6 linked regions of the Canis lupus familiaris genome follow. The protein of the gene in region 6 interacts with the protein of the main gene of each other region in a biochemical or structural test. Links are inferred from orthologs where the notes say so. Each region holds a gene or a part of one and is shown on either strand. Other genes may lie near its edges.

Evidence for each region.
Region 1: the proteins of DLG3 (region 6) and GDA form a complex in vitro, tested with the Homo sapiens proteins (2 studies listed by BioGRID and IntAct, with this or other methods). The link is inferred for Canis lupus familiaris from reciprocal best matches to the Homo sapiens genes DLG3 and GDA.
Region 2: the proteins of DLG3 (region 6) and CYSLTR2 interact in a test that uses a peptide from one of them, tested with the Homo sapiens proteins (2 studies listed by IntAct, with this or other methods). The link is inferred for Canis lupus familiaris from reciprocal best matches to the Homo sapiens genes DLG3 and CYSLTR2.
Region 3: the proteins of DLG3 (region 6) and NET1 interact in a test that uses a peptide from one of them, tested with the Homo sapiens proteins (2 studies listed by IntAct, with this or other methods). The link is inferred for Canis lupus familiaris from reciprocal best matches to the Homo sapiens genes DLG3 and NET1.
Region 4: the proteins of DLG3 (region 6) and CRIPT form a complex in vitro, tested with the Homo sapiens proteins (2 studies listed by BioGRID and IntAct, with this or other methods). The link is inferred for Canis lupus familiaris from reciprocal best matches to the Homo sapiens genes DLG3 and CRIPT.
Region 5: the proteins of DLG3 (region 6) and FRMPD4 interact in a test that uses a peptide from one of them, tested with the Homo sapiens proteins (2 studies listed by IntAct, with this or other methods). The link is inferred for Canis lupus familiaris from reciprocal best matches to the Homo sapiens genes DLG3 and FRMPD4.

What each region holds. Positions count from the first base shown.
Region 1 is NC_049222.1:86,201,905-86,206,555, reverse strand, and holds part of GDA (guanine deaminase), read left to right. Parts: intron 1-1,307; coding exon 1,308-1,415; intron 1,416-4,228; coding exon 4,229-4,326; intron 4,327-4,651. UniProt on the Homo sapiens protein: Catalyzes the hydrolytic deamination of guanine, producing xanthine and ammonia.
Region 2 is NC_049243.1:2,883,073-2,887,723, reverse strand, and holds part of CYSLTR2 (cysteinyl leukotriene receptor 2), read left to right. Parts: intron 1-2,811; 5' UTR 2,812-2,851; coding exon 2,852-3,850; 3' UTR 3,851-4,651. UniProt on the Homo sapiens protein: Receptor for cysteinyl leukotrienes. The response is mediated via a G-protein that activates a phosphatidylinositol-calcium second messenger system.
Region 3 is NC_049223.1:29,480,223-29,485,237, forward strand, and holds the end of NET1 (neuroepithelial cell-transforming gene 1 protein), read right to left. Parts: intron 3,475-5,015; coding exon 3,288-3,474; intron 2,971-3,287; coding exon 2,564-2,970; 3' UTR 1,048-2,563; downstream 1-1,047. UniProt on the Homo sapiens protein: Acts as a guanine nucleotide exchange factor (GEF) for RhoA GTPase. May be involved in activation of the SAPK/JNK pathway Stimulates genotoxic stress-induced RHOB activity in breast cancer cells leading to their cell death.
Region 4 is NC_049231.1:49,890,564-49,895,760, forward strand, and holds the start of CRIPT (cysteine-rich PDZ-binding protein), read left to right. Parts: upstream 1-1,864; 5' UTR 1,865-1,974; coding exon 1,975-1,990; intron 1,991-5,197. UniProt on the Homo sapiens protein: As a component of the minor spliceosome, involved in the splicing of U12-type introns in pre-mRNAs. Involved in the cytoskeletal anchoring of DLG4 in excitatory synapses.
Region 5 is NC_049260.1:9,177,778-9,182,428, reverse strand, and holds part of FRMPD4 (FERM and PDZ domain-containing protein 4), read right to left. Parts: intron 3,408-4,651; coding exon 3,281-3,407; intron 1,036-3,280; coding exon 946-1,035; intron 381-945; coding exon 198-380; intron 1-197. UniProt on the Homo sapiens protein: Positive regulator of dendritic spine morphogenesis and density. Required for the maintenance of excitatory synaptic transmission. Binds phosphatidylinositol 4,5-bisphosphate.
Region 6 is NC_049260.1:55,078,388-55,083,824, forward strand, and holds the start of DLG3 (disks large homolog 3), read left to right. Parts: upstream 1-1,877; 5' UTR 1,878-2,242; coding exon 2,243-2,599; intron 2,600-5,437. UniProt on the Homo sapiens protein: Required for learning most likely through its role in synaptic plasticity following NMDA receptor signaling.

The sequences.
Region 1 (4,651 bases), on a different chromosome or scaffold from region 6:
TACAGTGCCACATTTGGAGGTAGTGTGTCCTGAACTCCATGAACACAAAACAAAATCAAGTATATCTTTGCTAGAGGTGTATGCATGTGTGCATGTTCATTCAGCATTTATTCAACCTTATCAAAGTGAAAAGAATCATCTGCTTGACCCTTCTTCCCTTCAGATGCCCATGTATTTCCTTAGTGGTCTAGATTTCCTCAAGGCCAGGATAGAGCTCACCCTCTAGGTAGAACACTCTATTTTTAGACCATTGCTCTTTTTTCTCTCATTTGGTTCACACTCTACCTCATGGAGAAAGGGAAATGGCTTTGCTATTCTTGGAAGTGGCAACTTGCTCATGAGTTTTTTTCCCATAATATGTACTCATCACCAGTTGATCTGGAATGATTTTTGTTTTAGGCAAGGGGATGAAGTGGTTACACTTAAATGTTGTGTCTCAAAAGTACTTACTGCCCTCTCAGGGTTTATGGTGCCCTGGAGTAAGGTTGGTGTGTGGGCCAGGACTCATTTGTTTCTGTTGGATGTGGATTTTTATGGGCTCTTTTTTGGTGACTTCAGAATTGTCAAACTCAGTTATTCGCAAACTGTCTTCTGTACAAGAACTTATTTTGGAAGCTGACAAAGTGGGCAAAATGAGGACAGTGTTCTTAAATCCCAATCCTGCTTCTTCCTGAGACACAACTTGTTTATGCCTTTTACATATTGGATTTCCATGAATTTTTATATGAATAACATATTCAAAACTGGAAGAGTTTAGAATTTAGAAAATCACTCATTTAGCCCAACCCTAATATTTGAGAGATGAGAATGTAGAGACCCAAAGGAAAGAACTGATTCACCCTAAGACAAATGACTAGGCTCAGAACTTGGGCTAGCATTCATCTCTCCTTGTTCAAGTTCCAGTTTTCTTAAGAAAGAACCATGCTGTCTGTCCTTTTATGACCAATAAACTCTTTTCTTAATGGCCAGTACCAGAAGAGGCAAGTTGCCACAAATAGCTAGGTTCTTGACTCTCTTCAAGTACTTTTTATTTTTATTCATTCTTGCTATGGAAAGAACATAATATGGATTAAGGTTAGGGCTAGAACATTACATATCGATGTAATTATCATGCTCACATTCATAGTTTCTTTTTCTTATAGATGTTATGTATAATATGAATAATTGTTTTCAATAAAGCACATGTAGAATCTTTGTTGTCTTATATAGGCAAGTAGAAACCATCCTTATCATTGTTGGGATAGGAAGTATGATTTCTAATGGTATTTCACATTAGAAAATTGAAAATATTATTTCTTTTCTTGTAGAGCCACATAAGTGAAAATATCAGTGAAGTTGAAGCTGTGAAGAGCCTGTTTTACGATTATAAAAATTACACAGATGTGTATGATAGAAACAATCTTCTGACAGATAAGGTACATTGCATATCATGACATAATCTGTGTAAAGTAGGGCATATTTATCTACATTTTAAGATCTCAGTAATGGAGGGCAGTGGGGAAAAATGAAATAATAAAATAAAATCTCAATAGTAATCTTCAGACTTCAACATGTGCACATTTCCCAAACTAGAGTAAAGCTTATACACCACGCGTGCATGGATGTATAGTTAAAAATTGGCCTGAAGTTTCATGCCAGTAAATAAATCTAAAGACTTCTTTGGGGGTAAGAATGTCATTTGGCCCAAGGATATTTTGTCAGTATCCATCAGAATGTAAATGTGCATTCCCTTGAGTTAGCAGATGCATTTCTAAGGATCCATTCTGTAAGGAATATGAATAGGAATGTTAATTAATGTGAAAGTCAGGAAATGTCTATCAGTGGGGGATTGTCTAGATTATAGAACATCCATAATTAAAATTTTATCCAGCATTCGCAAGAATGATGTATACAGGCTCACAAGGAAGAATGTTTATAAGGGTTGTTTGTGTTTGATGTGTGTATGTGTGGGTGCATGCTCACTTAAAAACAATGATTTGGAGGGGCATCTGGGTGGCTCTGTGGTTAAGCACCTGACTCTTGATTTGGGCTCAGGTCATCAACCCCATATTGGGGTTGATGCTGAGTATGGAGCCTGCTTGAGAATCCCTCTGCCCCTCCCCACTTACGTACTCTTTCTTGCTCTCTCTCTCTGTCTCTTAAAAAAAAGTATAAGGGAGTACAAACATTGAATGTTAAAAAACGGTCTTCCTGAGGGAGAAAACAGAAGGACTTTTTACTCTATTTTTAAACACTGTGGTATTGCTTTAAAAAATTAGTATATAATACTTTCATAACTAAATAATTTTACATTAATTACAATTAATATAGTGAGGTGACACCTCATTACAATCATATACCCCTTGGCCTCCAATGAATTGTACAGACTGCATGGAGAGTTGAACCTACTGCAGCAAATAAATTCTACTGCAGTGAATAAATTCTTTCGGATGATGAACAGAGGGCTGAATATGACTACTTTGAAAGGTTAATATTCTACATAGATCTTGTAAATGCTACGCTGTAATTTTCATCCTCCTTTACATATATTTCCATATGATTAATAAATTAACCTCCAATTTGCATGTTAATTTTATTTGCACAAAATTTGGGAAATTTTTATTTTATTAATAATTCTGTGGTCACTGAGCTGTGTCTCCCAAAGGAGAAAGCTATTAGAAACAGGTTTTGTACTGAAGGAAAAAGAATTTTGAAAGAGTAAAGCCTTTTTATTTTATTTTATTTTATTTTATTTTATTTATTTTATTTTATTTTATTTTTTTCTTTTGAGTAGAGTTGATGCACAGAGCATTACATAATGATTCAACTTTTCTCTGTTATGCTGTGCTCACCACAAGTGTGGCTACCACCTGTCACCATACAACATATTACCATTGACTATATTGATTATATTGCCTTTTATTCCCAAGACTTATTCATCCCTTAACTGGAATCCTGTGTCTCCCATTCCTCTTCCTTCATTTTGCCCATCCTCCTGCCTCTTCTCTTCTAGCAACCATCACTTTGTTTTCTTTGTTTATAGGTCTGATTCTGCTTCTCTTTCTTTGCTTATTAATTTTTCTTTGTTTTAGTTTCCACATATGAGTGAAGTCATATGGTATTTGTCTTTCTCTGATTTATTTCACTTAGCATAATAACTTAGCATAATGCCCTCTAGGTCCATCAAGGTTGTTGCAAATGGCAATATCTCATCTTTTTTAAAGCTGAGTAATATTACATATTATATATATATATATATATATATATATATATATACTGTAAGAAAGGCTTAAGTCTTATTTAGGAAATCCCACAAATCTTACCAGGACTAAATAGAGAAGTGTTGTATGTGTGCAGTGCCTGCCTTCATGGATAATTTTGTCTTCCAAATTAATAGATACATTTCCTAATTTTGTGAAAATGTAAATATAGGTGATAAAACAGTTTGGGTTTATTTTAAAGATTTTTTTATACTTATTCATGAGAGACACAGAGAGAGAGAGAGCCAGAGACACAGGCAGAGGGAGAAGCAGGCTCCCAGCGGGGGGCCTGATGCAGGACTTGATCCCAGGACCAGGATCAAGCCCTGAGCCAAAGGCAGACGCTCAACCACTGAGCCACCAGGTGCCTCTTAAACGGTTAATTTGGTTGTGTTAACTATACTCAAATTTTAAAAAGACTTAAAAGATAGATAAATAAAGATTATTTGGTTATATGTGTTGAGAGCATCAGTGCCTGTATTTAACTAGGAGCAGAAATAAAAGCCCAACTCTTTCCAGGATTATGCCTACAGCTTCCATGTCTGACAAAGGAAAACTTACTTATAGTAAGTTCTGATTAAGATAGGAATAAGCACAACCCCACTGGTTGCTCACCATGTAGAATTAGAAAATAAAGTAACTTGGTTGTTTTCTAAAGCGGAGATGAAGACAGCATAGTATCTTTGAGCTGGGTGGATATCCTATGCTGTAGATCACCTGGACCCTCATTATTTTATAGATTAAAAAAAAGAAAAAAAGTAAGATCCACATATTTGCTGAGAATTGTGTAATCCAGTGTTTTTACAGGCCTTTTTTGAAGAGTAACTTGTACATGGATTTTATACATACAAGTAATCATAAATGTTCTTATGAAGATGTTTACAGACAAGTCACAGCTTCTGTCTGTGCCTGTAACATCTTGCTGTCAGTGAAGACTATTGGAAACGTTTTTAAGTGGTAAACTCCACACAGGATACTCTTCTCTCCAGACAGTGATGGCACATGGCTGCTACCTTTCTGCAGAAGAACTGCAGGTATTCAAGGAACGAGGAGCAGCTATCTCACATTGCCCCAATTCTAACTTATCGTAAGTATGCAATAATTAGTTGGTAGTAGAGTATGATCATTTGGGTTGCAAATTAGCAGCTTAAATACCTTTGTTTTCTCAGTCATGCCTCCAAGTGTCCTTCTCCTAGAGTTCTGTTTGATTGGGACAGGAACCAGATAGACGCACAGAGGCTCACCTGTGCATTGATAGGGAGAAAAAGCACTCAAAAGAGGATATTTTTGCCTTTGAAGAACACAACATCTCTTAAAATTTTTGTGCAAAAAATGGGACATTAGGAAAAATAACAGAAAGAGTTCAAAACCTACAGCATTTTGGGGTTTGAGCTAAGGACTACAAGAATGCA
Region 2 (4,651 bases), on a different chromosome or scaffold from region 6:
ATACCTGAAAAGGATTGACCTTAAAATTGGTTTAAGGCCTTGTCAATTTTGTCAATACCTGATAAAAGAGCTAGCACTTTTTAATCCCCAAAGAATGGAAGGAAAGGAGGGGGTATCACCAACATTCAACAAAAAGAATATTTTAGACAATGTCCTCTTGACGGTTTCCTCACTGTTTCTCCTAGAGCGCCTCTCAAGCAAACAACCTTGTTCATGTCACAAGTTCCCCAAAGTGGCCACTGCAATTCCACATGGTCCCTGGTGAAATTGTGCCAGTGGCATAGGCGCTCTACAGTGAGGAAAGCTGAAAGACACCTCGTGGCCCTGGGAGAGGTACAGTTCGAAGCTGGATGGACCCCACGAGTGCTGGGGTGCTGTAAGGACGGAGCTTATTTGCTCTTCCATCTGTGAAATTTGGGCAAAGGTCACCTGCCTCAAATTAGGTTTGAAAAAACTAAACAAAGCAGACCTCGGAATCACAAAAATATGACAGAGGAAGTCATTCCAATATTTGAAATGATGACTTTACACAAAGTTTATCCAGAGTTTGTCTAAAGAATGCCAGTCCTTCTGAACACTCAGTCCCTGGGGCGGTTGGAGGACAGACTTACCGGCCTCCCCTTGTCTTTTCCTTACGGACTTTTCCTCCTAAAGAAAAACAACACTCAAGACAATAGGTGATAGAATGGGTGTTAGAAAGTTAGGAAGCAATGGTTACTATTTACCAGATTTACAAGTCTGACCGGTAACTAGAATGTCTTGATGTTGTCATTATTTTTTATTTTAGCCATTCTAGTAGGCGTGTAAATATATCCCACTGTAGTTATAGTTTGCATTTCCTTGGTGGCTGGTGCTATTGAACAATTTTGTATGTGCTTGTATTTTACCCACACGCCTGAAATATCTCTTCGTGTCTTTTGCCTATTTCCTAATTGGATTGTTTGGTTTTGTTTGGTTGGGTTTTATTTATTTATTTTTACTGCTGAGTTTCGAGAGTTCTTTATGTATTCTAGACACTAGTCTTTTGTCAAATCTGTGGTTTGCAAATATTTTCTCCCAGCCCATATTTTGTCTTTTCATCCTCTCAACAGAACCTCTTGCAGAGGAAAAGTTGTTTTACCTTGATGAAGTCCAATTTATCAATTTTTCATTTCATGGATCATGTTTTTGATGTCAAGTCCAAGAACTCTCTGCCTAGTCTTAAATCCCAGAGACTTTCTCCTGGGTTTTTATTTTCCTAAAAACGTTATAGTTTTACATTTAGTCTATGATCCATTTTAGTTAATTTTTGTGAAAGGTAAGTCAGTTGGTCCCATTGGTTGATGTTGTACTTGAGTTTATCCAATTCTTGCGGAGTTTTTGTCTATTTGTTCTATCAGTTATTGAGACAGGATTTTGAAATTACTGACTGTAACCATGGACTTGTATATTTCTCCTCTTGATTCTATCAGTTTTTCCTTCATATAGTTTGCAACTCGGTTGTTTGGGGCATACGCATTTAGAACTGGTGTGTCTTTTTGATAGATAGACTCTTTTATCATTATATAATGTCCCTCTCTCATATTGTTTTTTGTTCTGAAGTTTACTTTATCTGATATTGAGAGCTACTCCTGATTTTCTTTGATTTACATTTCCATGACATAAATATTTTTCATCCTCTTGCTTTCAACCTGCCAGTACTGTTATTTGAAGTGAATTTCTTATATACAGCATATTATATATATATATGTATATATATATATATATATATATATATATATATATATATATATATAATTCCAGTCTGCCAATCTGTATTTTAATTGGTATATTTAGACTATTTATATTTAATGTAATTATTGGTTTGTTAGGGATAAGCCTGCTATTTGATTGTATTTTTCTGCTTGTATTGTCTATTTTCTTTCTCTTATCTTTCTGTTGGTTATTCAACCACTTTTCAGAATTCCATTTTGATTTGGCTCTAGTGTTTTTGAGCATATCTCTTTGTATAGCTTTTTAATGGCTGCTCTAGGTGTTACATTACACATACATCATTTACCACAGTCTATTGGCATCATCATTTTACCAACTCAAGTGAAGTTGTGGAAACCTTACCTCCTTTGTGTCCCTTTACCCTCCCCCATTTACAATAAAATTATCTTTAAAAATTCCCCTGCATCATATTGAATCACATCAGACAAGGTTAGAGTTTTTGTTTCAATAATCAGATGTAACTTAGACTCAAAAAGAGAAGACAATCCTATTGTACTTAACCCATATTTTTGCTTTTCATTTTCTGCCTCTTTTCTAATGTTCCTAGGGTCCTTCTTTTATTGATTCCTTTCTGTTTAGAGGCCTTCTTTTAGCCATTCATTTAGGGTAGGTCTGCAGACAATAAATTCTCTTAGTTCTCCATCATCTGAGAACGTCTTGACTTCTCCTTCATATTTGAAAAGTATTTTTGCTGGATATAGAAATTTGGGTTGGTAGACTTTTGTTTTAGCACTTAAAAATGTTGTGCTTTTGTCTTCTTCCAAATATTCTGATGAGACATCTGTTGTCTGGTAGGTGTAGACTGTAGTATTAACACAAGCACTGGACCAAATGTCTCCCAAGTTTGAGGCTTCGGTTTCAATGAAATAAATCAATGTTTATTTTGCATTCTAGAAATTTATCATGAAATATAATGGAGGATATAGTAAAAACTTTGCTAATATTTTTGGACTCAAGTTGCAAAGATAAGCCAGTATTTCTCCCTGTTTCATTAAAACCTGGAAAGATGTAAGTAGTGAGTGAGGAGTAACTTTTTGTGTCTGTTTCTTTTTAATCCAGCATAGAGAAGAAACTTCTGTCCTTGCCTCGGTTCACCTCCATGCCAGAAATGGAACCCAATGGCACCTTTGATAGTAGCAACAGCAATGGGAGCTGCACAATTGAAAACTTCAAAAAGGATTTTTACCCCATTGTGTACCTGGTAATATTTGTCTGGGGAATCTTGGGAAATGGCTTTTCCATATATGTTTTCCTGCAATCTTATAAGAAGTCCACTTCTGTGAATGTTTTCATGCTAAACCTGGCCATTTCAGATTTCTTGTTCACAAGTACACTACCCTTCAGAGCTGACTATTACATCAGAAGCTCCAATTGGATATTTGGGGACTTGGCCTGCAGGATTATGTCTTATTCTATGTATGTCAACATGTACAGCAGCATTTATTTCCTGACTGTGCTGAGCATTGTGCGTTTCCTGGCAACTGTTCACCCCTTCCGGCTTCTCCATGTCACCAGCATCAAGAGTGCCTGGATTCTGTGTGGGATCATATGGATCCTTATCATGGCTTCCTCAGTAATGCTTCTGAAAAATGGCTCTGAGCAGAAGGGCAGTGCCGTATTATGCTTAGAGCTGAATATCAATAAAATTGTTAAACTGAAGACCATGAACTACATTGCCTTGGTGATGGGCTTCCTGCTGCCATTCTGCATGCTCAGCATTTGTTACCTGCTGATCATTCGAGCCCTGTTAAAAGTAGAGGTCCCAGAATCAGGGCTGCGTGTTTCTCACAAGAAGGCACTTATCACCGTCATCATTGCCTTGATCATCTTCCTCTTGTGTTTCCTGCCCTATCACATACTGAGAACTCTCCACTTGATGGAGTGGAAAGTGAATACATGCAAAGAGGACCTGCATAAAGCTGTAGTCGTCACACTGGCCTTGGCAGCAGCCAATACCTGCCTCAATCCTTTGCTCTATTACTTTGCTGGGGAAAATTTTAAGGACAGACTGAGGTTGATACTCAGAAAAGGGAAGGCACAGAAGACAAAGTACAGCCTTCCTGTCTGCATGTGGTTGAAGAGGGAAACACAAATTTAAGGGGTTGCCAGGTAGAACCTGTTCTTGCATCCTTGTGCCCACCTTCATTCATCACATAGTCTCCAAATGACCATGGATTTAACTGTTTCCAACAAAGGTCCACTCCTAACATTTAACTGACCATGACTTTTGTTGATAAGTCCTACTTCAAACATTGCATTAGATGTGTTTTCAGTGATTGACTCAAAAAGAGAAATATAGCAGACAAAATCTCTACTAGTCTTGCAACCTCACATGTCAGACTGGGAAAAGATGCTCAGCACATTGTGTGCTCCTTTTCATCAGTTTCTGTACCAGATCTTGGTCCCATCAGGTATTCTAAAGTAACTTTAAGATAAACTCAACTTCCCCAGCTTCTCCAGCTCCTCTTCTAACTGGCTAAGCTGCATAGCCAGTTAACAAAGCTAATGGAGGTTCCAGAGCAGACCAGAAAAAAACATCCTAAGAATTCACTGAAAAGACTTTGTGAGGAAGGCTGCCCTTTGTCAAAGCAGAGTCAAGGTCCCAAACAAGAACAGTGAGAGAAAAGGGGAGAGAAGGACTGGGGCAAGACAGAGCTGGTAAAAAGTAGGGAGAAAGAGAAATTTCATGTTGCACTGGGAGAGAGGCTCTAGCACACTGCAGGCAAGAAGATTCCCTTCGCCTCTCTCTTGCTGGGGGCTAGAAGGAATAGGAAGAGTGGGAGGAAGAACCAGGGCCTTGTCTAGGGAGTGGAGGGATTACGTGTCAAGTGGTAGAAAGGAGAGGGTCAATTTTACTCTTGTGATTTGTGTTGGGACTGACTTCACTGAAGGTCTCAAT
Region 3 (5,015 bases), on a different chromosome or scaffold from region 6:
CCCACCTCGTGTGCACACATCCTGAGTTTAAAAAAGATCTCCCTAGGCAGAGACTAACTTTGCTCAAAATACATAAATGCACTCACTGAAAGAAGTTAGAAAAATCAGACTTATTTCGACAGACCCTGAAGAGTGTGAGGCAGATGGACAAGTTAGCAATATGCCTATACTTACGTGTATCATTTACATAATGGCTATTGGCTGGGTCACTGATTATGAAGTGCTGACCCAAGGAGTTCACTTATCAGAATTACTAGGAGGGAGTGTTTACAAATACAGATGATCAACCCTCACTCTTGCCACCCCTTCTCCGCAAGATCCTGATTCAGGGAAATGGGTATTTATATGGGGAGGAGCTAAGGGGTGGGCCCACTTCCTTTTTTTTTTTTTTAAAGCACCCCTGGTGATTCTGATGCCTGAACTGGTTTGAGAGCCACTAGCTAGATTATCAGATGCTCTCAAATACACAGATGCAATTTCTGAAATGTTCATTCCATGTAATTATTCAGTTTCTGGGCCTATTTTCTCTCTTGAGTGAACCAAAGAAGATACAGTTTTTGATGAAAAATCATTCCATTAACAGCATTTGAACTTGTTTCTGTACCTTCAGAAGCTGAACAGGGTAATTCTGGAAGGAATATTCTATATAACATCTTGTTTTCTGACTTTTCAGATCACAACTATTCATGTAACCTACACTTTGACTTTGCATTTCCAAACCTGGAAACCTGAGATACTGACATGAAAATCTGAAATTAATCAGCATGTTTTGCTATTAGCTTTACTACTATAATCAGAAAGCAGCCAGATGTTCAGCTGACTTCAATCGAATAGCTATTTTTGATTATATCGTATTCTAATATTCTAAAAAGACTCACAAAGCTTGACCTTATAATTCAGTCTTTCTCTTACTCATCAATGAATTAAGGGTTTAGTTATTTATGATTTTTAAAAACCTTTGTGAAGCTTGTCATTAACCTCCTCTGCTGTACCAGCATGTCATGGCACATGTCGCTCAACATCCACCAGCCAATAAACCTTTAAGGGTGATTATGTGTGTGCTTTTTTTTTTAATTGTATAATTCATTTATACAGAGAAATCATTTGGATTATCTATTTACAATCTTTTTCAATTTTCATTTCCACTGGCCAGAAACAGTTCACGTAATAGTCAACATTTACTTGAGCTGATTACCAATATAGATCTGCCATGACACAGGGCTTTGGCCTTCCCTCCTTAGAGACAATGGCCTCATTGAACAGAAACATTTTACAGTGAAAGATTCATCAGTTATTTTTCCCTCTTATGAATAAATCCAGCAAAACTGATCTAAATGGTCAAATTTTCAACACATTTGTTTCCTTTCAAACCCATAAACCAAGACAAAGAAAAATTCACTTCCCCCAAGCCTTCTACGACTTACGACATACCCTCAAGTTTAGCTTTTACGATATCGTTTCAACGTCCTGGCACAACCAGACGTTTTTACCTTAAGACAAAACTACTCTCTTAGGCTCTCTTTTTTATTTGTTTGTTTTGAACTTATTACCAGTCAACTGCTTTCCCTCTTGCTTCTCAGACAACACTAAAACTTTCAAGAAAAACCTTACGGCATTTTTCTTCCCATAGTCCAGGATACACGGGGTCATTTCATGTGTGTTCTCCATTCTGACATGCTATGCTTTAAAGATTGCAATTTTCTTAATTGGCTCAAAAACAATATGGCTTGGTTTCACTTGGTCAAGTTAATCTGATTTTTTAAAAAAAGATATATATATGTATATATATGTATATATATATATATATACACACACACACACACATACATACACATTTTAATCAAAAAAGAAAAATACTTTAGAGACACACCAATTTGAAAAGGAAAATGCATCAAAGTAAAAAAAAATAAAAGCAAATACTAAAAACTACAAATTAAAAAAAAATTAAATACTTGGCAGGTTAAATGGATGAAAAATGAGGAATGTGCAATGAAAAACAAATACAAAGCATTCCAGTTGACAAAATGGAAAACTTAGTAAGTTTTACGGTTTGTTCTCCAAAGACTTTAAGTTTCACTGTAAGTTCTGAAATATCACAAACATATATTGTGTGAAGATTTCAGGTTGCTGATGCTACAAACTCAAACTCTGTATGCAGAGTTTACCAGAGAAACACTGGTGAAATCCCAGTATTTGTAAAACTTTAAGTTTTGGCAAATATTGTAAATATCACAATTAGAAAGTCTTGATGAATGCAGAAGAGAAAATCCATTTCATAAATATTTCATTTGATTAATAAAAGGCTTGCATGTTCTAAATAATCTGAGAAAAATATCTTTAAAAAAAAAGGCTACAGTTTAACAGTAATCTGCATGTATCTTTAGCTGCCTTAAAAAAAAAAAAAAAAAAGGAACAACCACCCAAACCAACCAAAAACACAGAAAATGTTAAGACTGGTATTAAGTAGCCCTGCAATGCTCCCATGCTTACATTACAAGAAAAAACAAACTGTACACATTTATAAATAAACAGTCTCTCCACCAGTTCATACACAGAACTTCCTTTATACCAAAGTCTCTTTCCGTTTGCCACTGAACTGGGCTTTGTCCCTTGCTTTTCGGAAGCCAGACTGTGTTTGGTGAACTTTCACACTCTTCACGTCCTCTGCTGTGTGCACTGGGGACACACATTCTGAAGTGTCTCCGTCAACCTGGACCTGAGTCATGCTGGACGCCGTGGAGGCCCTTCTCCGGGCCCGGATGCTCCCGGCAGAGGGGTCGTTCTCCCCACACTCCTCGTCGAGCTCTGGGAGACCCTGCAGGTCAGCTGGGCAGACAGCCTGCTGGAAAGGAGCGATGGCCGAACGGATGCAGTTGAACCACTGCTGTTTGTGGAACACATCGTTGGCCTGCAGAGTGTGGGACTGGCCTGGGGAGGGGTCTTGGAAGCGAATTCTAAAGATATTTTTAGCTAGAAGAATAAAGAAATGTAAAAAAAGAGACTTAAAAAAGTTTCTGGTAAATAAAGTCAGCATGCAATCTTAGGATGGGGGGTGTTCATATCGCAGGTACATCCATTAGGCAGACAGCCTAGGAAAAGCCCATCCCTGACTCCTTAGATACACCTGCTGGGTCAGGGCAGCAAAGCACCTGCCAACTCAGTGAGTGCAACAGGTACAGGACAATGGAATCCTTCTCATTTACAATTTTTTTTGTATAAGGACAACTAAATTCACTTAGGTTTTGAATTTATGTGTATTTAAACTACTTTAAAGCTTGTTTTCTTACCTTTATCTGAGTTGCTGAAAGCCCCTCGAAAGGACCCTCCCATTCTCACATCTCCATCCTGCAGGTCTTCCAAGACCAGCTCTTGGACAGGGATTGGCTGCCGATAAACCTGGTAAGAGTGACGCTCATTTCGTGTAACAGGCCGAGTCAAAACCAAGATGTCTTGAAACAGGAATATGTAAAGTTTCTGGAAAAACAAGAAATAAATATGTCTTAAATGTGAAACTCTGTAATTTTAAGTGACTGAAATCCACCATTAAAATGACTTGATTCGACAGTAACTTCCTCAGATTTATTTACTAACATCCTCCTTACAAATGATCTCATAAAGACTTTGATTTCAAAGCTACCCATGTTCTACTTGGAGAGCTTTTCTAATCTCAGACTATATAAAATTTATTTTTATCAGCGGGTAACATTAGATTAAGCAGCAGCTGAGTAAACGCTATGCACCACAAAACACCTACCAGTAGTAACATGTCTGGAGACACCAGTATCAGATACCAGTTTTCTAACAAAACAAGGATTAACAAATGCAAGCTGGTAAAAATGTTAATGGTTTGATTTTGTCCCACACAAATGTAAGCCTTTATAGAACAATTAGGCTTCATAATAGAAATCAGAGGTGTCAGGTTTCAACTTTTTCCGAAAAGATCTCAACTTCTAAACTGGGCTTCTAGGGAGTAGGGAAATGGGGGAAATAGGTGATGCAGATGATGGAGTGCACTTGTGGTGAGCTCTGGGTGATGTACAGAATTGGTGAATCACTACATTATACACCTGAAACTAATATTATACTGTATGTTAACTAACTGGAATTAAAATAAAACTTCCAAAAAAATGGCCTTTTTTCTGAAAAGCACATAATAAAACAAAATACCATTACATGGGGTCCCTGGGTGGCATAGTTGGTTAAGCGTCTGACTCCTGGTTTTGTCTCAGGTCATGATCTCAGGGTCCTGAGATCAAGCCCCACATCGGGCTCCATGTTGGGCATGGAACCTGCTTGAGATTCTCTCTCTCTCTCTGCCTCTGCACCTCCCTTGAACAGGTGCATTCTGTCTCTTTCTCAAATAAATAGATAAATCTTAAAAAAAAAAAAAAAAATCCATGCTTACATTTATTTAGTTCTAGCAAATACTTTTATAATAAACATTCATTTTTAAAGATTTTACTTATTTATTCATGAAAGACAGAGAGAGAGAGAGAGAGAGAGGCAGAGGGAGAAGCAGGCTCCATGCCAGGAGCCCTATGAGGGACTCCATCTCGGGATCACACCCTGAGCCGAAGGCAGACACTCAACCACTGAGCCACCCAGGTGCCTGTATAATTAATATTTAAAAAATAAGTTTGCTTTCATTCAAACTGTTGTAGAAATTTGTTTAGTAGTGCTACAAGTTACTTCTATCACTATAAACTCTTTGAAAAAAAAATTGAAAGACATGTTTTTTAAATTAGGAAACTATTAATTTATTTTGAAAGGAACCCCTAGCCAAAAAAGTTGATTTATGCTTCAAAACTAAAATATAGGGCAGCCCAGGTGGCTCAGTGGTTTACTGCCGCCTTCAGCCCTGGACCTGATTCTGAAGACCTGGGATTGAGTCCCACAGGGGCTCCCTGCATGGAGCCTATTTCTCCCTCTGCCTGTGCTTCTGTCTGTCTCTCTCTCTGCCTCTGCCTGTGTCTCTGCCTCTCTCTCTGTGTCTCTCATGAATTGGTGATAATAAA
Region 4 (5,197 bases), on a different chromosome or scaffold from region 6:
TTTTCTATGCGCAATAATTACGAGTTTCAGAATATGGGAAGATGCATACATATAAATATACATATAGACTAGTTTGGCTCAAAAAGGTCTTAGAACCTAAAAAGGCCAAACTTAGTAATTTCTTAAATATTTGTAACCAGTTTCTGTAAAAGGGTCATGTACTAAGACCAATTAAGGGGTTCGTTTCCTTTTCTTTTTCTTTCTCTTTTTTGTCGAAATCACAACGGTGAAAACAAACACGCAGAGATTAATGATTTGCTCTGGTTGGAAATATAAGCTATGCGTTCTCCGATCCATGGATACACTCTGACTAAACTGCTTTTTTTTCTTCTTTGTAACCACTAGGGACCCTTGTCTAACATCACAGTAGTTCACCTCTTCTGGCAAATGACAAGCAATACCAAGTGCACACTTCAGGACTCAAATGGTGGCCAGTGTAATCAGGAAAGGCCAAAGAACATTATGCTAAACTAAGGGATCCCAATGCTCCAGAAATACCGAAATGACAATGTCCGTTACAGGTGCTAGGTTCCAATCAAAAGTAGGGCATAAGTAGAAGAAAAATCTTTCTTTCTCTCTATAAAATACACATCGTGGTATGTATAACATATATGTTTATTTATAAATTACCTAACGCAGAGCTTATACATAGTACTGGCTAATATCAAAGTAACAGTCCACATGTTACCCATGTTACACTGTGGTTGAATATTCCAGAAAAACAAAAGGGCAAGTCAAGGCCTTATCTTTACAGCTCTGATCTAGTTCACATTATAATTTTCCAAGGCAAATATTCTACTGATAAGGAAACAGGCTAAGGCACGTTGGGAGACATGTCCAAGGTCCCAAGCTCCCAAGCACTATAGCCACGTCAAACCCTCGCCTCTTTGACATAAATCTACACTCCAGGGGCCGAGAAGGGGATGAAGAGCAAGAAGGGAGGAAGGAAACCTCTCTGGCAGATCCGCTGACCAAGGGGCAGGGGCGCAGGATCCGGAATACACCGTCTGAGCGGACTATCCCTTCGGGTATGTTTCTGGGCCGCTCTCAGAATCCCAAGTGATATGGGCAGATGAGGCTCTAATACACGGAGCAGCACCCAACTGCTTACTGAATGAATGAACGAACGAACGAGGAGAAGAGGGTGGGCCAAAGGTCTGCCCCCCCGCGAAAGCAGCCGCGGGGGTGGGCCCTGGCGAGCACACCCCGGCGGCCAGCGCCCGCGCCCCCGCCCCCGCCCCCGCGGTCGGACCCGGCCCGCGCCCACCGCCCCGGAGGCTGCGGAGCTTACCCGCGCAACCCGCGGCACCTGCCCCTGCAGCCCCCCGCCAACCTCGGCCGCTCGGGACTCTGCCCGAGCCTCACCCCGCGCCAGTGTGAACGGGGGCGGGGCCGCGCTGAGAGGCATAAGCAAAAGGGCACGGGCGCGGAGACCGAGACGAACGGAGGGCGCCACACACAGGGACGGATCCGAGGGCCGGGTCCATCGGGGCTGCCCCCGGGTCACGCCGGAAGGGTGGCCCTCGGGCGGGCGGCGGGCGCCAGCGGGCCGGGGGCACAGACGCTCGCGGCCACGTGGGCAGTGGGTGGGGGCCGCTGGCACCCCGGGAGGCTCGCGTGCCGGGCGGGCGCCGCTGGGCTTACCTAACTCTCCCGCCAGCGGAAGAGGAGCGCGAGCTACCACCTCCCACCATCAGGTACGACTCGCCGCCCTGGCCAACGCGCAGGCGCAAGCCTGTGGGGCGGAGACCCAAGGCGGCACAGCCAATTGCAGGAGCGGAGGGGCGGGCAATGGGAGAAGCCCCGCCTCCCACGGCCTCTCAGGTGTGGGGTGGGCGGGGCGGTGGGCGGGGCGGAGGGCGGGGCGGCCGGAAGCGGATTTTCGTAACCCGGAAGGGGACGTCTGCCCCGGCTGTTGTGTTGACATTCTCGAGCTGCTGCTGTTTCTGCGGCCGGGGGAACCGTCGGGGAAGGATGGTGTGCGAAAAATGTGAGTTAAGGGGCTGACTCTTTGGGAGGAGGCCAGGAGAAGCTAGCAGGAGTTCTCCGGGGACTTCGCCTTTTCTTTGTCTTTTCTTTCGGCCACAAGTCTCTGATTCCAGCCTTTGTCCTTTATCCCTTTCACCGTTCCCATTGGTTTTGCATTCGGAGTGTTCTCAGTTTTGTACTGATTTGTCTATTTCCTTTGCCTCCCCCAGCCCCACCCCGGGATTTCATCCCATACAGCTCTTGACTGGCTCCTTAGCCTCACAGACCCTCAGCATTGGAATGGATCTTAAAAGTCATTTTTACAACACCCAGAGTTTCCAGATATAGCAGACATTTTAAAAATGAATACTTTTTTTAGAAGTATATCCCATGCGATATTTGAGACTTGTCTTTGCTCGCAGCTTCTTAGTACTGAAAGTGCTTTGGGCTTACCTTTAGGACATGACAATACTAAAACACCATTCATTGTTTATTTGAAATTTAAATTGAACAGGGCATCCTGTATTTTAACGAGCAACCCGAAGTTAGCATCCTTAAATGTTGACTTAAATGTTCTTTGCATGAATATCTGAGGTCTTGAGGCAGGGTTCAGAAAGCCTCACTACCTTCAAAACAGTCTGCGTAGATGCCACTGGCTTTTAGAAAGTTCCTTCTTGGGCAGCCCGGGTGGCCCAGCGGTTTAGTGTCACCTTCAGCCCGGGGCGTGACCTGGGGTCCCACATCGGGCTCCCCGCATGGAGTCTGCTTCTCCCTCTGCCTGTGTCTCTACGGCTCTCTCTGTGTGTCTCTCATGAATAAATAAATAAAATCTGAAAAGAAAAGAAAAAAAGAAGAAAGAAAGAAAGAAAGAAAGAAAGAAGAAAAGAAAAGATCCTTCATCCCTACAGTTGCCAGGCAGTGATTCTAATGCAAACCCTTGATGTTTCTGGAAAGTATCTTAGGATTTCTTTGATGTCACAGACTGTCTATATGTTTTAAAACGGCTCTCATATCCCTAAGTCTCTTTTTCCTCAGGCTAGACTTTTCTTAACAAGATTTCAAGTCCTCTTATCTGGATTAACATTAACTTGATCAATTCTGTTTATATTCTCCCCTCCCCCCCAGTAGATAAACCTTTAAACACAGGCACCCATGAGTTTGAATCACAGGTTTTACATTATGTAAAGGAATAACCATGGTGAATTACCTAATATTTCTTGGCTCCAGTTTTCTCCTCTGAAAAATGAGAATAATACATAATTTATGGGGTTTTGTGAGAATTAGATAATGCAGGTAAAGCCTGATATAAAAGTGCCTTAGTGTATACTCAAAAACTGGTTATTCCTATCATAACTCCCAGTATGTGGCACTCAGCATTAAACTCTGCTCCATTTTATGAGGAGTAGAGTGGGACTGATATTTTCATTTTTCTATGCTTTACATCATCATCTCACATGAAGCTTTTAAAAAATTATTGCAGTTCTACCAATTGGCATAGGTAGAAGTCACCCATTTAAAATGTGCCATTCTGTTATTTTTAGCGTATTCACAGGGTTGTGCGACCATCACCACAATCAATTTTAGAATATTTTCATTGCTCCAAAAAGTACATTAAGCTGTTTGACATTGACGTCCTTTTAACTCTACTCCATCCAATACTTATGAGGTTTTTTGGTTTTGCTTGTTTGAGTAACTATGTCTTACATATATTTAGGTTATGCACCTTCTCCATGTCTTTTCTCTTATGTAGGGTAGTTCCTAAACATGTAAATTAGCCTTCTTTGTAATTTGTGTTAATTCGGTACATTTTAACTTTAGAGGCCTGGCATTCTGACGGGCTTAACTTGTTTTGTGTGATGTTCTTTACACCATAAGTGCTTTTTTCCCAGGAAAATTGAGGATACTGGGCAAATTCTGAGAGGTAATTTCCTAAGGCACATAAAAATTTTGAGAAGCCAAGATCGGATGTGATGTTAAAATACACATAGTTTGGCTCTGGGACGTGATATATGTCATAAAGGTCATTTGCTTTTTACTTCTCTGCACTTCTGAAAGTCTGTATTATTTCTTTGCTCTAGTACCTTTCTACCTTCTGTACCATCTTATTCCCCAAATAAAAATAGACTCTTAATTCAAAGACCTTTCTTTCAGTCCCTTTCTGCTTCTCTGTGACTTTGAAACTTGATCTAGATTCTCTTTGAATTTACTTCTCTTCTTCTTTACCATTATAATCTCCAAGTTTTCTTATTCTCCCTCTCCCTTAAAGTAGATATTTCCCAGTGATCGACATCTGCCCTTCTTTTGACTCTTTGTTTTGGAAATATCTGGCTTCAAGTAGTTTATCCATGCCAGTGAATGTCTAATCCACATCTCCAGCCGACTTCTCTCTATACCAAGACCAATAGAAGAAATTTCTCCAGACAATACTGGGACCCTTCATCTGGTTGTTACATAGTAGTATAGTACTTCCAAGACTGAATTTGTCATCCTACTTTATAAATCTGTAACTTCTCTTCCATCATTTAATGGCATGGCAGTCCTCCCAGTCACCCATTCATAAAGCCTTATTCATCGCTCATTCGTTCTGGTATCCCTTTGTCAACCTGCATCCAAACACTTGCCTGTCCTGCTATTGTTACTTCCATTCAATAGCTCATATTTTCCCTAGCCTCTCATTTACCCCTTAAATAACCTACCTGAGGTCCCCATCACTCTTGAGTTAAACTAATGTGATCCCCTCCCAGCTCCTTTCTCTTCAAACTGTGCTCTCTCTGCTTTTGCCTCTTCTCTCCTTAAACTGTCCTGCATGCATGTGAAGGCCACTGGGGAAAACTCATAAATGAACCAATTGGTACCACTAAAAGTGTACAATTCCTATTCTCCAAGATCTTTAATACTATTCATTGGTCTTTTTTACTTCTCTTTAGTCAGCCCTCTTGCCCTTTGTCACTAGTGACTATTCCAAACTCTCTAATCCCTTAAATTTCCCCCACCTTCATCTACCTCATCCTCTGTTGACAAATACCTCCTTATAGGTATAAGACAAGCAAGGTAATTAAATGGGAACATTATCAACTTCTTTTACGATACCTGTAAACAGATCCACATCCATACTCATTTACCTCTTTCCCTTTTTCCAAGAAAAATTCTACTCGTGTCCTTGTTGCCATCCTTCCGTACCTCTTTATTTGTCACTATATCCTTTGGAATCTTTAATCAGCTCCCCTTC
Region 5 (4,651 bases), about 46 Mb from region 6:
GACTTTGAGCAACTTGTCACGGCTCCTTAGGGAGGACTGGAGTCATCAGGCCTAGGTTGGGTGGATGTTTTCTGTAACTCGTCACATTTCTGATCCTCTGCCCACGTTGAAATTTTGACCGCTTTGTAAATATTGGCGGTGTTATCACAAATGTGCTGTTCAGATCAAGGCCCTGTGTCAGCACCTGAAGAATTTACCTTTACATCCAGCACATGGAGCTCCACCCGCACCAGGCTGTCCTCCTCGGTAAACATCTCGATCCTGTTGACATGGCTGAAGTCAGCTAAAAGAGCCACCAGATTGGTTTTGGTGTTTATGACGTGGCTTATGCCATATCGGGGCCCAACCAGGAGAGTCACTTCTGAGCGCTTTTCCGCCTGCTGAGAGACGTTGACAAAGTATAAAAATCCTCGACCTCCAAAACACCATGCAGAGTTGAACCTGAGAGCCTATTCTTACAAGATCACATTTTCTTTAGGAAGTGTTTCTCGATCATATTGTGCTAAATCACCCAATTAGAAGAACCAGACATCATGATTGCATCGAGGCCCCGATAAAGTAGGAATAATGTAGAGAGTAAATGTTATCAGAGCACATAGATTCATAATCATGAGACACTTTTAGAAATGAGGATTTTTTTTCCCCCTCTTTTAATATGAAAGCAACTTCTGGCCCAATGATTTAAAAGAAGGCCATTGTAAGAGCGCATCAACTCTCTCGGTTCTTCATATTTCTTTTTCTAGGGCATTCTGCAGTGGTGTTATCTAGTTTAACATTTCTTCTGATATTTCCAGACTGGGGTGCAGCCGATTAGAAATGAAGGCTGGAAAAGATTCACAGCTGATTTGCTTTTGTCATCAAAGGCAGCTCATTCAAGACAGCCTATGGCAGTGACATTTTGCAGGCTTCCGTGGCTTCCAAGAGAAAGCAAGAAAAAGCAATTACCACTAATGTTGCCTTGAACACACGACCCCCGTACAGTCGAAGGTCACTGAGGAACTTGAGATAATGGACCTTGGCTTGCAGTGCAGAGAGCTGAGGAGAGAAAAGAAACCTCAGGTGTTAATTCCAGTGGGTATGGTGTGGTTTCTGCTGGAGACCAGCTAACCACAGGGGCGAACCGGGATGCTCTCACTGCCAACAGAAGGGGTGTGACAAGGACTCTTCATGACGAGTGAGGGTAAACTGCTATGTATTTGGGTTCGTAATAAAGGGTTGCAACAAGACATCCAGATTAAACCCTTTTTTTATTTGGGGGGAAAGGCCTGGCGGGGGAGGTCATAAACGTGGATCCGCTGGGCCGGGGCACTCAACAAAAGAGATAAGATGGTAAGATATTCCACTGAAATGTCTGCTCACTGGAGACCCCCAAGAGTCGAGTGGTGCTTTCCAATCGCAGGTAGGGACGAAGCGGGTTGTGTACAGGAGACTCACCTGTACACAGAGTTCGTGGGAGCCGTTTTGAACACACACCTGCCATCTACATACAGCCTGTGAAATAGGCTGGCCACGCTCATCTCAAGTTTCCTCCAGCCTTGGCATGTTTTCAGGGAAAATGAGCTTTCTGTGCTCCAATCATTGTAGAAATGTTGGGACTTGCCAGAAGTCCCTGTTTGATTAGTTCAACTCAAGGATCTACTGAGTTTCATAAAGGATATAAAACATAAAATTTTATCCAGGTGAGATGTATCTTTCGAAAGACTCAAAAATGGAGATTCCCACATCACAAAACAAGTACTTGATTGTTAACTATACCCAAATGCACTACCCTTTATGTCACTGGTAGCCAGCACTGTTGGGCCATCCTACTTCTTTCGAAAACCCAAAGCACTTTGCAAATTGATTTGAAAGCAAACCACTCACTCTTGGGTAGAAAAACTGACCTTTATAGAAAAACAGTGATCGATCGATCGATCGATCAATTCTAGAACAGTTAACCAAATCCAGTGGGCCACACTTGAAAAAAATCCTATTGGGCCAATCAAAAGAAATTAGCTTTGGGCAAATCAGAACCAAAAATTTAAAAAAAAAATTTTTTTTTTAAAGTTTACTTATTTAAGTAATCTTTACACCCAACACGGGGCTTGAAATCAAGACCGCGCGGTCAAGAGCTGCTCGTTCTACCAACTGAGCCAGCCAGCCAGGCGCCCCTACAAAATCTTCATCCCTGACGTCCTGCTAGATTTCTGTGAGCTGAATGCTTTCAGAAATGAGGAAGTAAGGCAACAGTGGCTGGAGTGTGTCGAAGCTGATTTTACTTTTTAAAAAGCCATGGGGTGAGGAGGGAATAGCAATAAGTATGTTTTAGCCAGTAAAAATGACTTATAATCCAATACCAAGACCAAAGAATTACCCACATAAACAGTGATTTGTATTAGAGCCACCCAAGTCTCTATGGCCAATATCAATTGTTAAGTGTTCTCGGGTTGTAACACTGCTTCCAATTTTATAGGTCCTGTATTTTTAGGGTCCTCTTTCTGGTTCTTGAAGCCCTTTGCTTTTTATTGCCTATAAACATAACTCTCTATTCCGACCAACAAAGTTTTAAAATGCCCTTTCTGTGTCTTCTGATAAAAAAATAATAATAAGGGAGATTTTAACACTAATGGTGGTGAATGGCAGAAATAATTTTATCTTCCTTTCAGAAGTAAGATTTAATTCAGCGGTTGTCAACCGGGGGTGATTTTGTTCCCCAGGGCACATTTGGCAATGTCTAAAGACGTTTTCCACGTCGTGATGGAGGGCGTCTTGTAGGTAGAGACCAGGGATGCTGCTAAATACCACACAATGCACAAGACCGCCTCCCTCCGCCAGCAAACAATGATTCCAAATGTCAACAGTGGGGACGTAGGGAAACCCCGGGTTAAATAATGCCGTATCTGGTCTGCAAGGCCCCTTGCTGGCTGCTGTGCATTTAAGACAGTCTGAGCCGTACGCAAGGGCACGATGGAAATGCGCAGTCGTCTTGCAATTCTGTTCTCTAATCACAAGATCTCAGTGGCTATGCAAGGTTCTCTTGCACGCACACGTGAACACACACACACTCCGTACAACAAGGAGTCCATAGCTTACAAGAAAGAAAGAAGTCTCCACAAGAACACCTACTTTTCATTAGCCTTAGAAACAGGTTAATAGGGAAGAAAAGGGGTGGGGGCGGGGGTTATGCGGTGTTACTGCCTCTGAAAATATTTTATTCACGAGCTAATTTTAAACATTTTTAGAAATGCATGCAAGCCCGGCTCTTTAAAATCCATTTTCCATTAAGATGCAAATGTGATACCTTTTTACCCGGTGGTACCAAGTTTTGATTTGCTTTGACAAGGTGTGAAAGTGCTTTCTTTATGTTCTTCTCTTTCATGCTTTGCAGCACAGCAGAGGGAAGAAAAGTCTCTAATCCCCATTCTTTTCTGCAATAAAGAGCATATCTTTAATTTCACGTTCTTGTGATGATTAGTTATCTAAGACAAGATGGCACTCTGATGTTTGTGGGAACAAACGAACTCCGAGCAAGTCAGGAAATGGAGCTGGGGCCCCAATTAGGGAAGCAACTTTGAATTTACGCTCTGGGAACATACTAGCTGATTAGGAATACAGCTGTTTGCACCTTAAAGGAAACATAGCCTTCCCTCTCCAGAGAGAATGCCTTGGGGACCAGTGGAAATGGAGACCATTTGTCCAACCCTCTTGGAAGGCTGGAGTCTCACTGAATTCATTCACATACCTGAGTATGTATTTCCAACACCATTTCTGCCGGTTCCTTTGCTTACTGCCACTGTTACTACTCCCCGTCCCCCACACCGTCTCTCTCTTCACTAGAAGGGCCTATGCCAACTCCTTCATGCCCCAGACCGCTCTTCCCTCTCCTGCCACCCCCCCCCCCCCGCCCAGTGGCTACTTCACTACAAACATACACTTCTCCGCCGGCCACATGATGTCCATCTAGCTCCTTCAGGCAACAGCTCTTGCTGGGTGCGTGTGTGCATGCAAGGAGCGCAGCTGGTGTGGTGACGGGGTGGGGGTCGTGACCCTTAAGTGTGTGTGGTACTGGTGGGGAGGCGCCACATTCCCGACAGGTGTGCACAGACAGGAAAAATGGGCAGCATTGGGTTAATAAGGTTTGTGGAGGGCCCATTTCCTCAGCAACGACTACACCCCTACCCCAGCAGGGTTCCATAGTTTGAACTCTATGAATTCCATCCTGATTGGTCAGGCGCCCATCCAGGGCCTTCTAAATACTATAAAGACCTTCAAGAAGGTTTGCTTGTGTCTCCGACTCCAGATCCCCTCCAAAGAAGCGTGGGAAGACGGCCTTCCCCCACTTGACCATCCATGCCCATCGCTGGTTAAGATGGTGTTTTTCATGATCACCATTTCCTCCTCCTCCTCCACTCGCACTTATTATTTCTACCCATCATCTGGCACTCCTTATGGGGTGCCTGGTAATTCTACTTGTATCAGCACTTTAAATCATTACTTTCGTATCTTTTTTTTTTTGTTTTTAAGATTTCATTTGTTTATTTGAGAGACAGAGAGTGTGAGCATGAGTGGCGGATGGGGCAGGGGCAGAGAGAGAAGACTCCCTGCTGAGCAGGGACACGGGGCTTGATCTCAGGATCCCGAGATCATGGCCTGAGCTGAAGTCAGATGCTCA
Region 6 (5,437 bases):
AGATGCCATAATAATACTGTGGTCATGTAGGAGAATACAAGATGTATGCTGAAGTATTAGGGGAGAAGTGTGATGAAATCTGTAACACATTCGAATGGTTCAGAAAACAATGTAGCTACATGATAGATGATAGAGCAAATATAACAAGGCAGTAACAGTTGCTGAGTCTATGAGAAAGACATATTGATGCTCATTGTACTATTCTGTCAACATTTCCATATGTTTGTGAATTTTCATTTTTAAAAAAAGTTGGAAAAGAAGTTGGAAAGAATATGTGGAGGATATATGATAAAGCAAGTATAGCAAAATATTAATGAGAATCCAGGTGGTGTTTGTTCCCTGTAAGATTCTTTCAATTTTCTGTATGTTTGATAATTTTTGTATTAAAATGTAGAGGTAAAAAACTTGAAGAAAGATGATCACAACCCAGCATCCTCCTCTAGCATTCCCAACACCCTCTTCTCTGATTGACTTTTCTTTTTTCCCCACAGCACCTTATATATTATATAATTCTCTTATTTATTATGCTGGGTTTTGTCTATATCCTCTCACTAGAATGTAAGCTCCCCATGGGCAGGGATTTATTGTTTTGTTCTGTTTGTTGCTATATCCCCAAATCCTAGAACAGTGTCTGCACATAGCAAGTGTTAGTTAGATAAATGTTTATTGAATTAAGAATGAACTTCTGTATCTCTCGGACCTAGGCTGAGGTCTTGCATAGAGTAGGTGTGCAATGAATGTTTGTTGAATTGAACTGAGATCTACAGCCTACGGGAGAACTTAGAATAGAGCTGTTGTACCAGGGTGGTTCAGAGTATGGATTCTTGAATCAAATAGCCAGGTTCTGCATCCTGATTCTGTCACTTCCAGCTGTATTAACATCTCTGAGCCCCAATTTCTTGATTAGTGAAATTAAGATAAGGATAGTAACACCTTGGTAGGGGGTTCGTTTGAATGTAAAGCACTTAGGACTTTGTAAAGACTCAATAGTTGGTAGCTAGGGACAAAAGAAGAACATCAAAAAGAGATAGTTTTCCCTGCATATCACCTTCCTCCAACCCCCAACAGGCTGAGCCAGGGAGGCTAAGGAGATGTCCTCAGACAGGAATTCCTAAGTTCTTCTCCAGGCCCCCTGGAACAGTTTCTCTAAGTTCAGATCTCTTCTTACCTTTCCTTCTGCCCTGGACTCTTCTTTCCTCTTGGCATCCTAAAGCTCTTTCTCCCATCATAACCATGCAGGAGTACGGGGAAAGAGACAGGAGCCTCTGGGCCGGGGACAAGAGCTCAGAGCTTTCCTTTCCTCCTCCTGTTCTAGGCTTGAGTCCCTCACTAGTGATGGAAGCAGGTCAAGTGTGAGATTGCGGTCATTTCAGGCCTAGAGGTTGAGAGAACAATAGTCCCAAGGAAGAGGCACTGACAGGAGAGTAGCCACATATGCTGCCCTCTTCCGTGGTCCCCTGTTAAGAAAGATCACCTTCCTTGCCCTGCTCCAACATCCCTTTGGTCTGTTCTGCTGCTTCAAGTCTTTACTTCTGCTAGCCCCAGCTCAGAGCAAGCCCAGGGACCCATTGACTATCTCCCTGCAACTCCCTCTTGGAAGTGGGGTGGGGTGGAGTGGGCGGAGGACGGGTTGGAATTGGAGATGTGGGGGCACTAGATCAGGGGCTGAGCTCCCCCGTGGCCCAAATCCCCCGTCCCTGCTTTAGGGTCGGCCGTACCCCAGATGTCTGGGGAGCTGGGGCTGAGCCTGGGGTCGCCACTGCCTCTGTTCCTTTAAGGAGCCGCTGTTTAGCATTCCTGCCGCTGCCGCTGCCGCTGCCTGACTCTGCACGCTGATTGGCTGGAATCAACTGAGAAGGGAGCCAGGGAGAGATGCTCTTGACTCCACTCAGATCCATCCTGGGGACCAGTGCAGGAGCGGTCCTCTCAGCACCCAGCCTCTGCCCAGGCTCCCGCTTCTTCTTTGCCGCTGGGCCTCGGCCCAGGAGCCACGACGGGCGACACGGAGCCGCCAGTGCTGGAGGGGGAGCCGTGGGTGCGGGGCAGCGTGGGGGCAGAAGCCCCGGGACGCCCGCCCGGCCCCAGGCCCCGCTCCGCCCGAGCGCCCCCACGGGTGCCCCCTCCTTCCTGGTCCGAGCAGTGTGAGTGTGCCCGGGAGTCCGGCGGCGGCGGCGGCGGCGGCGGCGGCGGCGGTGTGGAAACCGGCGTGGGCTGGGGTGTCCGGGCGGCGGGGGGCAGTGCCATGCACAAGCACCAGCACTGCTGTAAATGCCCCGAGTGCTATGAGGTGACCCGCCTGGCTGCCCTGCGGCGCCTCGAGCCTCCTGGCTATGGGGACTGGCAGGTGCCCGACCCCTACGGGCCAGGTGGGGGCAATGGAACCAGCGCGGGCTATGGGGGCTACAGCTCGCAGACCCTGCCTTCACAGGCGGGGGCTACCCCCACCCCCCGCACCAAGGCCAAGCTCATCCCCACTGGTCGGGATGTGGGGCCAGTGCCCCCTAAGCCAGTCCCAGGCAAGAGCACACCCAAACTCAACGGAAGTGGCCCCAGCTGGTGGCCCGAGTGCACCTGTACCAACCGGGACTGGTATGAGCAGGTATGGACCAGCAGTGCGGAGGGGGGGGGCGGGGGGGATGGTGGGGTAACCCAGGGGAGGCTGGAGAGTGGGGGCCTAGAGGCCTGGGGGTGCAGCAGGGATTCCTGGAGGCTTCAAGCCAGTGGACTCCGAGCCCTAGCATTTCACCTGAGCTAAGAGAGGCGGTTGGAAATGTGTGCTTCTGTGTGTGTGTCTGTTTGGGGGTCTCCATTTGGAGGGGATTGGGAGGAGCTGTGTGTGTCAGGAGGTGAAGGTATGGCGGAGGGGTACATTTTCCTGTGAGGGGGACTGGGTTTGTCTCAGTGCGGAGGTTTAGTAGCGTCTCTGTGTCTGACAGGGGGCGGGAGGTTTTGCGGGGGCTGTGTATGGTGTGTGCTTCCATGGGGGGGAGGAGGGGGCATGGTGCTCTGCGTAGGGGGGACATATGTGTGTATGTATGTTAAGGTGTGTGGAGGAAGGCAATGGAGCTCCTGTGAATCTATGTAGAGGAGCCCATGTTCCCAGCTGGTTGAGCTTTATCCTTCAGTGCCATGAGTCCTTTTCTGTCCCAGTCCCTTTGTGTGTGAATGTGCACATGGACATGTGGGGATGTCTCTCTGAATGTGGAGGTGTCTCTCTGTAGATGAGGCTGCAGGGACAGCTGTGTTTGCCTGTGTGTGTAGCTACATGTATATGTGTGTGAGCATGTAGCTTAAGTGTGTGCATGCATGTGCCTGTGTGTGTGTGTGTGTGTGTGTGTGGTGTCCCTGGTGAGAGGCTCTTGACAGGCAAAGGAGGGGAGGGAGAGGAGGCAAGAGACACGTCCCAAACAAGGCTGAGAGGCTGCTGAGAAGGACGGACTCTTTTGTCCAAGCAGCTCTGAAGTGTGTGTGCTGGGGGGGCCCAAAGGTAGGGGGTGGGGGGACTAAAGCAAGCTTCTTCGCTCTAGAGCAAGCATGGTGCCTGGAGCCAAGAAGGGGCAGCTGCCCTGGTGCAAGACTGGCCCCAGCGGGGCATGTCCCCCTTGGGTACCTCCAGATGTGAGAGAACTTGGCCCCCAAGCCCTGACTTGGCACAGTTTGGGAACCCCTTGGGTGCTGGGCACAACTCCGGCTTCCACTCCCAGTCTAAACTGCCAGCTTAGAAAATGGAAGGAGCATCTGTGGGAGAAGCAGCAAAATGGAGGCTGGGCCGGCAGAGCCAGGTCCTTGGCATGCATAGCGGAGGGCCTGTCTGGTTATTTGGCTCTGCAGCCCCCAGGTTAGGGAGAGAGGAGACAGAGGCTTTGCTGTCGAGGGCAGGTGCTGCCTGCCCCAAGCTGGTGACCGTTCTGTCCGCCTCTGTCCTCCTCTGGGAATAGAATGTGCTCTCACTCAGAAGCAAAGGTGGGGACTTCCTAGGGAGAGGAGTCCTCAGTTCCTCAGTTCTGGTCTTTTGTCTGTCCACACTTACTGCTTCCCTTTTCCCTTACCTTGGCTCTTTGCCCTCTCTAGTGAGTCCCCCTCATTCTTTTTTCCTGTATCCTGGGGCCCTACCCTTGCAAACACTCCCTCATGCTTATCCTGCTCAACTGGCAGATAGGTGCCAGTCCCAAGGCTGGGCCAGTTGGTCAAGGTTTCTTTGCCAGGGATGATCCCCAGATGGCTCCTGGTCCTGGGAGCGGGGTCCCTGAGCAGGGCAGTGGGAGGCTGGAGCCTCTGGTTCTCACTGGAGCTGGGCTTGAAGCATGGCTTATCACATGTGGGCACACATGGTACCCCAGATGCACAGAAGGGCTGTATGGGTGTCCTTTTGCCTGTGTGTCTGTTGCATCTTACTCCAGGCAGCTGTTTTGGTTTGGGAGCTCTGAAAAGCCATGGGTTCTTCCTCCTGGGATCAGGAACCAGAGTGGGGCTGCAGCTGGAGTCCTCCCACCACCTCCCAGGGCTGCAGGGCATAAAGTACAGGGGGCAGGCCCTGCAAAGGCGGAGGCATGACTAGCCAATACTACCCGTGCCCTCTCTGTTTTCCCAAGCCAAAGCTACAATGGAGTGGGGAGCAGAGCAGGACACACGAAGGAGCCCCCACCCTAGGTTTGCAGCTCCCTTCAGAGGAGGACACCAGGGGTTGGAAAAGGGGTAACACAGCCAGAGGAAGATGGAGGAGGGGTGCTGGGTTACCCGGGGAGAGAGGCAAGGAAGTTCCTCCATTCTCGGGGATGAGAGTGGGAGCCAGGGAGCAGTTACTACTTGTCTGTCCAGAATCACATTTTCTCTTGACAATGGTCACAAGTTATATCTTGTCTGGGAGACCAGTTCGGTGGGTTGGTCAGAACAATGCTTGTTTCCATCTCCTTCCCCTCACTTCTCCCATGGCTACTATATATTGAAGGCCATGGGCTCTGCTGCCAGTCAGTCCACAGGTTATCAGCTTCTCCCTCCTGGGGAACTGTGTCCACTCTGCTCCTATCCCACCCCTGACTTTGCCTCTGACTCCCACCCAGATCCTACCCTGGCTTTTTCTGCTGGGAAACACAAAGGGTTCAAGATCAAAAACCTCTTGGTATGAAGCGGGTTCGGACTTTGACTCCTTCCACCCATTTGAAGAATTGGGTTCCTGGGGACACAGAGGAGATATAGAATGAGGGTTCCTGGGGTATTCTGAAGGGTACAATTTTCCATTTCCTGGGATTTCTGCTAGGGAAGGGGATGAGTGGCCAAAACATCAGTGGCCTTGGCAGCTTGATTTAATCAAAAGAATACCTGGAGATCCAGGTTCTAGCCCCTGCTCTGCCACTAACTCCCAGTGCGCTCTGAGGTACAACCTGTGTCCTCCCTAGGCCTCGGTGTCACCATCTGTCACATGAGGGAGGTTGGACAA